2 linked regions of the Stegostoma tigrinum genome follow. The protein of the gene in region 1 interacts with the protein of each later gene in a biochemical or structural test. Links are inferred from orthologs where the notes say so. Each region holds a gene or a part of one and is shown in the gene's direction. Other genes may lie near its edges.

Region 1 (7,106 bases):
ATGATACTCATGGCACGATGGCTCAGTGGTTAGCACTGCTGCCTGACAGTGCCAGGTTTGATTCTACCCTCAGGCAACTGTCTCTGTGGAGTTTACACATTCTTCGCGTGTCTGTATGAGTTTCCTCCGGGTGCTCTGGTTTCCCTCCACAGTCCAAATATGTACAGGTTGGGTGGATTGGCCATGTTAAATTGGCCATAATATCCATGGATTAGCCATGGGAAATGTAGAGCTACAGGGATAGGGTAAGGGGTTGGGTCTGGTTGGCATGTTCTTTGGAGGGTTGGTGTGGACTTGATGGGTTGAATGGCCTGCTTCAACACTAGGGATTCTATGGTAAGCTGCGACTTTGAAAAGTGTGGATTGATGAAGGATGATCAGCATATATTTGTTAAGGGAAGATTGTGTTTGATTTACTTTACTGAATGTTTTGAGAGTGTGATATGTAGAATTGATCAGGGTAGTGCAGTTGATTTTAGTAAGGCTTTCAACAAGATAGTACGTGGCAGACTGTTTTTTAATAAAACGCTTGAAGTCCAAGGGAATGTAACTAAATTGGCTCAGTGTCAAGGTGGCCCTGTTGGTGAGGAATAATATTCAGTCCCTTGCAAGGGGGTACATAGAGTCAGGAGATGTAGAGTCAGTATGGATAGAGCTGAGAAATTCTCAGGGTTGAAAGACCGTAAGGGGAGTTATCTACAGGCCCCTAAACAGTAGTCAGGATGTAGGGTGCAAGTTGAATCAGGAGCTGAAATTGGCCTGTCACAAAGGTATCACTACAGTTATTATGGGAGATTTCAACATGTGGGTAGACTGGGAGAATCAGGATGGTACTGGACCCCCAAGAAAGGGAGTTTGTAGAGTGCCTCCGAGATGGATTTTTAGAACAGCTTGTACTGGAGCCTACCAGGGAGGAGGCAATTCTGGATCTGGTGTTGTGTAACGAACCGGATTTGATCAGGGACCTCAAAGTAAAGGAGCCATTAGGAGGTAGTGACCATAATATGATAAGTTTTAATCTGCAGTTTGAGAGGGAGAAGGGAGAATCGGAAGTGTCAGTATTGCAGTTGAATAAAGGGAACTATGGAGCTATGAGGGAGGATCTGGCCAAAGTTCAATGATACAATACCCTGGCAGGGATGGCAGTGGAACAACAATGGCAGGTATTTCTGGATATAATGCAGAAGGTACAGGATCAGTTCATACCAAAGAGGAAGAAAGATCCTAAGGGGAGGCAGGGGCAGCCGTGGCTGATGAGGGAAGTTAAGGACTGTATAAAGATAAAAGAGAAGAAGTATAACATAGCAAAGATGAGTGGGAAGCCGGAGGACTGGGAAGCTTTTAAAGAGCAACAGCGGATAACTAAAAAGGCAATACACAGAGAAAAAATGAGCTATGAAGGAAAACTGGCTGAAAATATAAAGGAGGATAGTAAAAGTTTTTTTAGGTATGTGAAAAGAAAAAAAAAGGTTAAGACTAAAATTGGGCCCTGGAAGACAGACGGGTGAATTTATTATGGGGAACAAGGAAATGGCAGAAGAGTTGAATAGGTGCTTTGGATCTGTCTTCACTAGGGAAGACACAAGCAATTTCCCAGATGCAATAGTGGCTGAAGGACCGAGGGTAATGGACGAACTGAAGGGAATTTATATTCGGCAGGAAATGGTGTTGGATAGACTGTTAGGTCTGAAGGCTGATAAGTCCCCAGGACCTGATGGTCTGCATCCCAGGGTACTTAAGGAGGTGGCTCTAGAAATCGTGGACGCATTGGTAATCATTTTCCAATGATCTATAGATTCAGAGTCAGTTCCTGCAGATTGAAGGGTGGCTAATGTTGTCCCACTTTTCAAGAAAGGAGGGAGAGAGAAAACAGGAAATTGTAGACCAGTTAGCCTGACGTCAGTGGTGGGAAAGATGCTGGAGTCAATTATAAAAGATGAAATTATGACTCATTTGGATAGCAGTAACTGGATAGGTCAGAGTCAGCATGGATTTACGAAGGGGAAATCGTGCTTGACTAATCTTCTGGAATTTTTTGAGGATGTATCTATGAAGGTGGACAAGGGAGAACCAGTGGATGTAGTGTACCTGGACTTTCAGAAAGCCTTTGATAAAGTCCCGCATAGGAGATTGGTGAGCAAAATTAGGGCACATGGTATTGGGGGCAAAATACTGAGTTGGATTGAAAATTGGCTGGCTGACAGGAAGCAAAGAGTAATGATAAACGGGTCCCTTTTGGAATGGCAGGCGATGACCAGTGGGGTACTACAAGGTTCGGTGCTGGGACCTCAGCTGTTTACAATATACACTAATGATACAGACGAAGGCATTAAAAGTAATATTAGCAAATTTGCTGATGACACAAAGTTGGGTGGCAGTGTGAAATGTGAGGAGGATGTTATGAGAATACAGGGTGACTTGGACAGGCGAGATGAGTGGACGGATGCCTGGCAGATGCAGTTTAATGTGGATAAATGTGTGGTTATCCACTTTGGTGGCAAGAACAGGAAGGCAGATTACTATCTCAATGGAGTCAAGTTAGGTAAAGGGGAAGTACAACGAGATCGAGGTGTTCTTGTACATCAGTCAATGAAAGCAAGCATGCAGGTACAGCAGGTAGTGAAGAAAGCTAATAGCATGCTGGCCTTCATGACAAGAGGAATTGAGTATAGGAGCAAAGAGGTCCTTCTGCAGCTGTACAGGGTCCTGGTGAGACTGCACCTGGAGTATTGTGTGCAGTTTTGGTCTCCAAATTTGAGGAAGGACATTCTTGCTATTGAGGGAGTGCAGCGTAGGTTCACGAGGTCAATTCCCGGAATGGCGGGACTATCATATGTTGAAAGATTGGAGCGACTGGGCTTGTATACACTTGAGTTTAGAAGGATGAGCGGGGATCTGATTGAGACGTATAAGATTATTAAGGGATTGGACACTCTGGAGGCAGGAAGCATGCTTCCGCTGATGGGTGAGTCCAGAACCAGAGGACACAGTTTAAAAATAAGGGGTAGGCCATTTAGAACAGAGTTGAGGAAAAACCTCTTCACCCAGAGAGTGGTGGATATATGGAATGCTCTGCCCCAGAAGGCAGTGGAGGTCAACTCTCTGGATAATTTCGAGAAAGAGATGGATAGAGCTCTTAAAGATAGTGGAATCAAGGGTTATGGGGATAAGGCAGGAACAGGATACTGATTGTGGATGTGTGGTGATAGTGACAATGGGAACTGCAGATGCTGGAGAATCCAAGATAATGAAATGTGAGGCTGGATGAACACAGCAGGCCAAGCAGCATCTCAGGAGCACAAAAGCTGACGTTTTGGGCCTAGACCTCTGATGAAGGGTCTAGGCCCAAAACGTCAGCTTTTGTGCTCCTGAGATGCTGCTGGGCCTGCTGTGTTCATCCAGCTCCACACTTTGTTTTCTTGGATTCTCCAGCATCTGCAGTTCCCATTATCTCTGGGTCTGTAAGTGGATGTTACCTGGAAAGATTGAATAGCCTGGGGCTTTTCTCCTTGGAACAGAGGGGCTGATCAGAGATTTGACTGAAATGTATAAAATTGTGATGGACCGTGGTAGAGGAGACATAAATTGCCTGTTTACCTTAGCAGGGAGGTCAGTGACTAGGGGGCGTAGGTTTAAGTGATTTGCAGCAACATTATGGGAGAGATGAGGGAAAACGTTTTGGGGCAGAATCCGGTATGCATTTTTTAATGCCTGAAAGGGTCATCGAGGCAAGAATGTTCAACGGATTTTGAAAGTTTATGGATATAGACCTCAAGTGCTGTAACTTGCAGGGCTTCTGTTTGAATTTTAGTAGGTGAGATCGGGCTGGGTCACAAAATCTGAGGCAAAATCTGTTAACGGCTCCATGACTGAGTTAGAACAGCCATTGCTTTCACTGAGTCGCCGCAACAGTTTTCAAGCACTGAAATATGGTTATAGTTGGGGGGGGCGGAGGGAAACAAAAAATTGGGAAGGATTGCTCCAACCCGACAACAAAGTGCTCGCTGGTTCCTTCGCTGTGGTCGGATTGTTCAGTCCTCCGGGGCTGTAGGTGGCGCTGCAGCTGGCAGTTGGCGGACTGCTGCTGGATTCAGTTGTCGGTTCTGCTCCCTAGCGTTAGTCACAGTTGGGATGCTGCTTATGGCGGCTCCCATCTGGGTGCAGATGTGTACCCGGCTTTCCCTTGTGTGGCTGCTGCTCGTCTCCTTGGTTCTGTTGAACCTGTGTTCAGGAACACCGGCTTCGGCCCCGGAAACTGAGGCGAATGAGTCCGAAAGCTCGAGAACTCATCACAGTAACAAGAGCAGCAAGGCCTTCCCGGTGGTGACCGTCGACTTCGGTCATGTCAGGTCCCCGTTCGTTGTGGCGCTGTGGATCCTGTTGGCCTCCGTCCTGAAACTAGGTGGGTGACTGGGACAGGTATGTCCTGGCGACATACGGACGCAGGTCGATCCTTTTTCTCTCTCTCTCTCTCTCTTTTACTACCACGACCTGTCTTTCCCCCCGCCCCCGAAACCCAGAATTTTACAGCGTCGGTGTCCATTCGGCCCGTCATCTGAGTGCCGGCTCTGGCCCATTCCTTGGATCTGCACATTTTGTCCCCTTCCCCTCAAAGGTACAGTCTCAGGACCAGAAACTGATCATTTATAGAGTAAGGTGAAGATAAATCACTTCATTCAAACGGTAGGGTCAGCATTTGGAAGTCTGTGACCCGGTATGTTGAAGAGCCTTCATTTTGAATACATTTGCATCCAGCATAAACCTTTTTTTGGTTTTGAGGAAGTCGAAAGATATGGGGAGCAGGTGAGAAAGTGGACTTTGAAACCCAAGATTAGCAAGTGTTGATTTGAATTGTGGAAAACGATCATTATGCCATATGGTCTACTATTCTTATATGCTTGTACGTGAATCTCTACTATTAGGGATTCTCATTAAACTTCACCCACATCATCAATGGCTTGTGTGTTATTTCTGGACACAGTGTTAAATTCCAGAAGATCACCCCTAGCCATCTCTTTGAATGTGAATATTCAATTTTGGAATGTTGCTGTTGTGAAAATAGGGAGCAATAGAATATCTGGTCACATCCATCCAGCCTCAAAGAAGTGCATAACTTCCTCACAGAAGTGGTGGAAAGTATGACAGCAGATTTAGGAGGATGGCCCACCAAGAACACTGCCAGTCGTTTGGCCAGTACTGCTGTAGAGGCCTGAGGTTGGATTAGAGAAATGACTGAAAGAATTGGAGATTACAGATATTGGCAGCATTTACACTGGCAGAACTCCTTTGGGTGCATTCGTCCCATGTGCCTGCTCCCCTCAGCATGTAGTGTATTTCTGCATATGTGGATGTGGCATTTATCTTCAGTGAGCAGGATTAATGAGTGGAAACCAGCTTAGTGTCCTGTGTTTTGAGTTGGCTGCACCTTGTTCTAACAATCTTATTAAACTATCCAGAATTAGGAATTGCTCCTTAGATTTCTTTCATTTAACAACAGTTTTATTTTGCAGTTTCACAAAAAAATGTATAAAGTTTGCACATTTTATCATGGAGTAATTCAAATTTGTCATTGAATGAAGTGCAATAGAGTTGACATTCTTCTATAGTGTATTTAAGAAGCCAAACTATAGTTAGAATTCTAAGTTATAATTCCTGTTTTATGCCAGACATCCTTCTGGAATGTATAGCATGTGTTGCAGAGCTGCTTGACAAAAACTAAACGTTCTTTACAAAGGCATATTTCAGAAGCACATGAGCACTGGTTTCCTCCTACTGCAGATGCCCTGAGGCCAGGATACAGTGGCAGAGACATTTTGTGTATGAAGAAATTGATAGGATGATTCCCTCGCATCACAACCTTCCTCCAATCACCTTAAAACTATGCTCCCTTGTAATAGTCATTTCCGCCCTGGGAAAAAGTCTCTGGCTATTCGCTCTATCAATGCCTGTCATCATCCTGTACTCCTCTATCAAGTCACTTCTCATTCTTCTTTCGCTCCAGTGAGAAAAGTCCTAGCTCTCTCAACCTTTTCTTATAAGACCTGCCCTCCAGTCTAGGTAGCATCCTGATAAATCTCCTCTGCACCCTCTCTAAAGCTTCCACATCCTTCCTATAATGAGGGAACCAGAACTGAAAACAAAATCCCAACTGTAGTCTAACCGGGCTTTCATAGAACAACCATTGAAGCATAACCTCATGGCTGTCAAACTCAACTCCCCTGCTAATGAAAGCCAACACACCCATATGCTTTCTTAACAACCCTGTCATCTTGGGTACCAACTTTGAGGGATCTATGGTCGTGGACCCCAAGATCCCTCTGTTCCTCCACACTGCCAAGAATCCTGTCATTAACCCTGTATTCTGCATACAGATTCAACTTTCCAAAATGAATCACTTTGCACTTTCAACTAGTTCTTCAAAGATGTTATGTGTACACCAATACATGGGTGGATCTGTGACCAGAGATGTTATATTGCTTAAAATTTACATGATTGACAGGTAGCACACAGCATGGTCCAACTGAATGAAGCATTCTGTGGCAACATAGTCAGATCTATCATCATATTTATCTAGAGAATGAGAATGCACAATGTTCACATGGACATTTTATGCAAATCTCTCAAGGAGGATAAACTTACTCAATGCCACTTCTTCCTGATGGTCACCTTTATGTGTTGATACACTTATCTGTTCGTAGGCCATCGGAACACAAACACCAAATACTATTGAAATTCTGTCTGTGCCAGTGAAGGTTGTGAAGGATGCGTCTGGCTATGTTGCCGAAGATTGTTCCATCCAATTTGACTCTGCTGTACCACATGTCTTCATGGAACAGTTTGTATGTAACATATCTTTGACCGAAAGATCATCTGGCAGTGGTTTGGATGAACATTGCTGTGCAGCAATGGCTTATGGGACGGTCACGCTGTCTAGTGCAACACTGAGAGCACTTCAGCAATCTCTATATGTTGAATGAGATAGTAGGAACTGCAGATACTAGAGAATCTGAAATAACAAATGTAGAGCTGGATGGACACAGCAGGCCAAGCAGCATCAGAGGAGCAGGAAAGCTGATGTTTTGGGCCTGGACCCTTCTTCAGAAATT
Region 2 (6,892 bases), on another chromosome or scaffold:
ACAAATTCAGACAATCATAAGTTTTACTAGTTTCCTTGAAACTGTTCTCGTTGAAATTGGAAACAGATTTGCTGAGTAGAAAACAGTGGATAGCCCAAGGCTGCAGTTCCTTCTGAATGGAGGATCTTTAATCTTTATTTCTTTTGTTGAAGATGTCATCACTGTCATCAGAGCAAGCAATATTTTCTTTGCAGCAGCATGGATCCTTGGCCATGCACTGTTGAGCTCTTCTGAGTGGTGGCTTCCATGGAGTGTATGCACCACACCTCCAATGAGCATCAGCAGATTTTGTTCTCAATCTCCTTATAGATCTGCGATGATGTGGGTAGAGGTATTATTTCATTTACTGATTTATTAATACACTCAGTGGTGTATACTGGCTGTGGTCATTGCCTGTATCTTTGTTACGTATCCTCACAAACCTTGCAAGTTCTTTGAGTTTGAAATATTCACAATTTTGATAGCAATGGAAACCATTTCCGTCAAACCAGCATAGTCACAGGCTCTCACCTTGTTGACAAGATGAAACAAATTCTTATTCCAACACAATTAACCTCAAGGATTTTTTTTTGTTTTGTTTAGGATTTTGCATCTTTAATATAGGTTCTTCCTCTCTCAGGGCCTTCATGAATTTTCTGAAAGATGTTTCTGTTGGACTGGAACTGTTCACAATTTATTATTGCCCAATGCTTGTATACTTTAAAATACTAGCTTTGTGATGTTCCTGACTTTCTGATGCCAGATTATGCATTTCTGTTTTGGCCCTGTTATTTCTGTTTTCTTTTCTAGCCATGCCTCATGGCCTTATTGAAAAAATGTTTTTAAAAAATTCTCATCTGTTCAGCCTAGGTTACTGTGCTATTTAAGATCTTTCATTTGTGCCAGGCATTTCTAGTTTTGATTCACACAATCTGATGTCAGTTCACTTACTGATCAAACTCTGACTTAGAACCACTGGTGCAGACCACCACCCTGGGACGCAGCCTATACCTCTGCCTTGGTGGTGCAAATTTCTTCTGTTCCAAGATGTCTTTTAATAAGTCTGATGGGCTTTTTAACATTCTTTGAAATATTGATATAAAGTTTCTTTTCTGGAGTTCATCAGCTCATTACTGATGATTGTGGCTCACTGTGCTATAAAGTAGACAAATCAATCTCTGGGTCCCACTTAGAAGATCCCTGCTGCTCACCATATTGTACATTGAAGCTAAAGCATATCCTCAGATTGTCGCCATGCTCACCATGTTGTATGTACTGCCACCAATACCTTTTAGGAATGTGTTCCTGAAGGTCCCATGTGCTCTAACATTCATGAGCATAGTTTTCTCTAGTCCAGCTAGTTGAGTTCCTTATGCAATATAGTATTCCCATATTATCCAACATATATACCCATCTGGTTCACTAACGTCCTTTGGGGAAGGAAATCTGCTGCCCTTGCCTGGTCTGGTCCACATGTGACTCCAGATCCACAGCAAAGTGGATGACTCTTAACTGCCCTTTGGGCAATTTGGTACAGGCAATAAATGCCTAGCCAGCGACACCCTCATCCCGTGAATGAATTAAAACAAAAATAGTTTATTGCATCTCTGCAACTACCTATTACAAGGATGTGTTAGGAGGACCTGGTCTTAGGCCTGAATGCTTCATGATCATTAGCTACTGTCCCAGCAAGTCCTCATGATGTGATTGCAGTTGTTGGTGCTTAATGCAATCAATCGACTCTTTCAGATTCATATGCAACAGTCATCATGGTTTTAGTTGAACATGATGTTAAATTTTTATGGCTGACAAAACTGCAAGAGACTGGGCCAAGTGATGTAATCCTAAACATTAATTCTGTTTGATAAGTTGCACATTGACCAACTTTTAAATAGATGGAGTATCATCCTGTAACTGAAATATCATCTGATCATGAGACAGTAGGAACTGCAGATGCTAGAGAATCTGAGATAAGAAGGTGTAGAGCTGGATGAGCACAGCAGGCCAAGCAGCATCAGAAGAGCAGGAAAGCTGATGTTTTGGGCCTAAATCCTTCTTCAGAAAAGCAAGTCAGCTTTCCTGCTCTTCTGATGCTGCTTGGCCTGCTGTGTTCATCCAGCTCTACACTTTGTTATCTCATCACCTGGTCATGTATTTGTTTTCTAAACAGAAACCTTTGAATGTACATTTACTCTTGCTGAAGGTGCAATAACTTTAGTTTTTACTAAAAAGTTCTTGACTATATATTGACTATAGTTGACTATAAATATTGCAGCATGATACATTCCACATGTATAAGGTCATTCGCAAATGTAGAACACTGCAAAGGAATTCATGGGAGTAAATACACACAGGGAGAGGGACAAATCATCACTGCCTGTGGTCATTTCTGAATTCTATCTGATTTCATAGACTTAAGGTAAATAAATGTCCTTATTTTTGCTTAAAATGGCATTCAAAAAGGTCAAGGTTGAATGCCTGCGTTGTTTTGCATATTGATTCTGAGTCTCTGCAACATTTTACTAAATTGAAAATTGCGATTGTAGCATCTATTGTAATTTGACTCCCATGCATGATACAATTGTATGTTTGAATTGTATTAATTTACTTGTGAACTTTGCATATGAACCCAAAGTGCAAAATATGGAAATATGTACTGATGCATCAGGCTTTGTTCTGTATTAACGAAAGGTACTAGCTCTTACTCCTTCAAACTAAGCAGCTGTAACAACAATCAGTTGCACTGGTACAATGTATTTGATGTTACAAACTACACCCAACAGATTTCACTACAGTCAAGCGCAGTCATTGAGCAGCACAAGATTATACACTGTGGCTGAAAACAGGGGAAGAGGTACATTTGAGAAAGTCTGTGAAAAGTGAGAGAAATGTAACAACACAGTGGGCTTTTGGGAAGGTGTTTCAGACTTCAGGTGAAAAAGTTAATTGAAGGAGGAGTGATTTGTACATGAAGCTGCAGGCTTATTGAGATGTATTTGATGCAAGAAATTGCATTTCTGTTTTTATATTGAGGGTATTTATCACTATTATTTATTTCAAATAATACACTATCACTGCTTTGGTTATTTGAGCCTATGTCATTGTTCAAGAAGATGATGGCTAATTTTCTAATACAAATCCACCTTTCCACAATATTCCTATAGCCCTTAGTATCCACAAGTCCATCAAAGTCTGCCTTCAGGAATTCAAAAGCTCAGCATCCATAGCACCCTTGTGAATTTCAAAGATTCACAGCCTTTTGAGTGATAAACGTCTTGTCAAGTCAACCCTAAATGTGAAACTCCTCATTCTAATAGTGTGACCCTGAGTAGGTCATTAGTGCAGGGGGCAGTGTTTCTGCCACTGACCCAGAAGTTCACGTTCAAAGTTCCAGTGCAGGTCTTGATGACCAAGGAAGTTATGTTCCAAAGCAAGCAAGCTGAGAATTGATCTGTAAGTCCTTCCACTGTAAGAGTGGGAGACATTCCTGGTTAGCCATGCCATGGAAATAAATTGGAGCCTCCAACATCACTATCCATAGTTCAAATGCATGTAAAAGTGTAAGACACTCAGCAAATCAAACTCCTTCACGGGGACCAGTTAGCTCAGTTAGTTGGATGGTTGGTCTGGATCAGATTGGCGCCAATGGGTTTCAGATGACGTTTGTTGCCTCTTTCAGCTGCACCTCTCTCCTTGCTCTCAACCTATTGGAGTTTGTGATGTTATCTTTGGCTCGATAAGGCAAGAAGATGTTCTATATAGGTAATTTAAAGATTAAAAAGAAATCTCTGTCTTGAAACACAATTATTTAAAGAAAGAAACAGTACATCATCTCTTCCCTTCCGTGTACCTTATTGCGAAATCTTTGTCATGAAATACAATATTGAAACTTAGTCAAAACAGGAAGAAGCGAGGGATCATTCAAACATATCTTGAGCGGTAGGACCCAGAGGAATCCCTCGCTGGCACGACAGGGAAGTGTCGAAAAGGACATTTCATTATCCCCAGTGATTGCAGTTACATTCTACAGAACATCACTAACCGAAGCTACCAATTGGTTGTGTCTGTCGATCAGAGCTTCACCCGATTCCAGGAGACGCAAAGCGCCTGTGTCCTGGTCAGTTTGCTCCCTAGAACTTTGTGAGTTTTGAAAGGTGTGACCTGCTGAAGGCGAAGAAGAGGTGATGGGGTCTACTCCTTCACTGCCTGCCTGGGAGATTCGCAACCTTGCGAACACGACCGGCTGTGAGTACAGTTCCAGGCGCTCGCTTACACTTGGGTTGTTTAAGAGCTGAACTCAATTTAAAAGTGAAAATGTCGAATAATCCAGGAGGCTCGCGAAGATCACGCAACAAAAGGCTGGTTGGAAACGCATTTCCTCATACGGAAAGGACATTATAAACATTTTTTTCAAAAACTGCGAGATTTTCATCGCACTTTCTGAAGCTCAAAAGCTGTCAATGAATGTGTTGTAGCCAAATGTCTTTTCATAGTGTTTTTACTCCCACCCCATTCTTTCTGCCTCCTTTTCTCCGGACTCTGAGGGGGCTGTTTGGTCACTCAAATCTGGCCGTTACTCACACGCAAGTGAGCGGCTAACCGACTGTGGGGTGCTTCACAATGACCTGTCCTGCTGCTCACGTCTTCACGCTCAGTGCGAGTGTGACAAACAGAGTAGGATTGCCCCTGCCGAGCTGAGGGGGACCTGAGTCCGCTCTCTCAGCGACCCTGCCTGGGCGACTAGCCGGGATTGAGCAGACAAACCAGGGATCGACCCTGAATCCCTCCTGAACTGTACGGTTCAGTCACTAGGCAGATCAAACCCCAGCCTGTAAAGATCCTGATCCTGAGCTGCTTCCACCCTCCATCTCTATATCGTAACGAGGATGTGTTCACACGAACTGGACCGTAGCCCTGTATTTGCTGCACTTGATTCATTACCCGTAGCATTACCTTCAGTAATGCTTCTACTGTTCTGTTTCTTCGTGTTTCAACAAGCGTAGAGGTCAATAATTTCAAGAGGACATTGCAAGAGTGCTTGAGGGAAATAAACTTGCAGGGCAAGAGGGAATAGAGCAAGGTAATAGACTGATTTGACTGCCCTGCACAATGGGGCATGGATTCAGTGGGCTGGTTGACTTCGTTCTAAGCCTAATCACTCCAAGTAAGCCTCTGAGACAGCCTTAGCTAACCCAGAACAAGTCAGGCAGAACATGTATCTCTGCTACGAAGGGCAGCAAGAACACTAGCAGTGCCTACATCAAGGTTATTGTGTCATTTAAGTGAGTGAAACCCAGAAGTGATTAGTGAGGTTTCTTTTTCTGTCCCTCAATATTACATGTTTTACCAAAATGACAAAGTTACTGTATAAGTTCCTCCTGCTTTCACACTCCATAAATAAGCAGCTTGTGAAACAGGAGTTTTACTTTTGCTGACTCATGTTTGCACATGCAATTTTTAAGGGAGTAAATGAGATTACATTTTCTAAGAAAAATGCCAAAGTATAGTATCTCGTCTCTTTTAGGTTAGATCATTTATTCAAAAAGATAGAACATCAATGTTCTCTACAGTATCTAATCTCACCTTTCAGTTAAATCCAAAGCACAGGGTCCCAACAAACAACCACCACTTAAATAAACATTTTCAAAATCCTCCTTGTAATGAACAACATTGGAATGTATAATTTGTTACCTTCACCTACCTTCAGAACTCAAAGTGAAATGTGTGGGAGTAACTAACATTAAGTTGCAGTCTGATAGCAGCTTTTGTTAGCCAACTTAGTCAGCTGTATTTTCTTAAAGGCTCCAGGAATCAGGGAGTCACCTTGTTTACTTTTGATAGTGCCCGCCACATTCATGTAATTCAGAGATATCAGAATTATTAACCTATTTAAAAATAATACATTAACTTTAATGGAAGCTGAGCCTGCTTCTGTGCTCCCAGTGGACACAATGAGTCCTGTACAGAAAATTTCACATGGTAAATGAAATAATATGGACAATTTAGGAGGGGATGTTCTTTCTATGTAAATATCTCACACTTTGAATTTCCTTCCTCTCAGTTACTTCAGAGCAAATTGAAATCTTGCACAGAAGGTTCTTGCACCTAACGGATGGGAAGGCTACAATGTGGTATTAGTATTCTAGTTACTATGTATGTTTAACAACATTTAGAGCAATTTTCCCCATGTCTGTATAAAATACTTACCTACTTTATTTTGCAGCAAAGATTGTTTTGATAACATACCAGATCTGGACTGTAATCCCATTAAGGCAAGAATTGTCAATGCATTTTTTGATAGGAGGTAAGTCTTCAATTCAGCCTTTCTAAATTGATCTACTTAGAACCATCATATTATTGATCATATGATTTTTTAAAAAATCTTGCTTATACTGAGTGAACCTACTTTGCTTACAATCATGCAGTTTGATCACAAAACCAGTTCATGCTGTTGGAATGGAATTCTCCACTCCCCATGAGATACATTTGAGCAATTTTAGCTGCTTCTGAACAAGTGTGGAAGAAGAGTATAAAACTTGAAATCTCAGAGAGACTGCTCGAATGGCTGATTACAAAGTAGCTATAGTACAGCATAAGCCAGAAAGTATTTTTCAAGGTTGGAACTGAAGTATATTGATAGAAGGGGGAAATCTAGGCTGTGCTTGATGTGGAAATAGGTGCTGAGAGTGAGAAAGTGTAAAGCAATCTCCTAACATCCATGTGTTTTTCCCTAGAAACTTGGGACAACAAACGAGTGGAACGGTTGATGAAATCACGTTTGAAAACTTCCTGACTACTTTATCGTTTTTCCAACATATGGATGACAATCACACAAAAGAGGACTTAGAATACTACAAAAATGAAAAACTGCAATGTAAGGCACTGATATGGCACTTATTTGTACACCAGTAAG

Evidence for each region. The genes of interacting proteins can lie anywhere in the genome.
Region 2: the proteins of sodium/hydrogen exchanger 1 (region 1) and tesca form a complex in vitro, tested with the Homo sapiens proteins (4 studies listed by BioGRID and IntAct, with this or other methods). The link is inferred for Stegostoma tigrinum from reciprocal best matches to the Homo sapiens genes SLC9A1 and TESC.

The regions. Positions count from the first base shown.
Region 1 is NC_081377.1:33,124,113-33,131,218, reverse strand, and holds the start of sodium/hydrogen exchanger 1, read left to right. Parts: upstream 1-4,099; 5' UTR 4,100-4,131; coding exon 4,132-4,402; intron 4,403-7,106. UniProt on the Homo sapiens protein: Electroneutral Na(+) /H(+) antiporter that extrudes Na(+) in exchange for external protons driven by the inward sodium ion chemical gradient, protecting cells from acidification that occurs from metabolism.
Region 2 is NC_081379.1:30,269,057-30,275,948, reverse strand, and holds the start of tesca (tescalcin a), read left to right. Parts: upstream 1-3,874; 5' UTR 3,875-4,163; coding exon 4,164-4,224; intron 4,225-5,926; exon of another isoform or gene 5,927-5,930; coding exon of another isoform or gene 5,931-5,958; intron 5,959-6,040; coding exon 6,041-6,110; coding exon of another isoform or gene 6,111-6,132; intron 6,133-6,202; coding exon 6,203-6,283; intron 6,284-6,713; coding exon 6,714-6,853; intron 6,854-6,892. UniProt on the Homo sapiens protein: Functions as an integral cofactor in cell pH regulation by controlling plasma membrane-type Na(+)/H(+) exchange activity. Promotes the maturation, transport, cell surface stability and exchange activity of SLC9A1/NHE1 at the plasma membrane.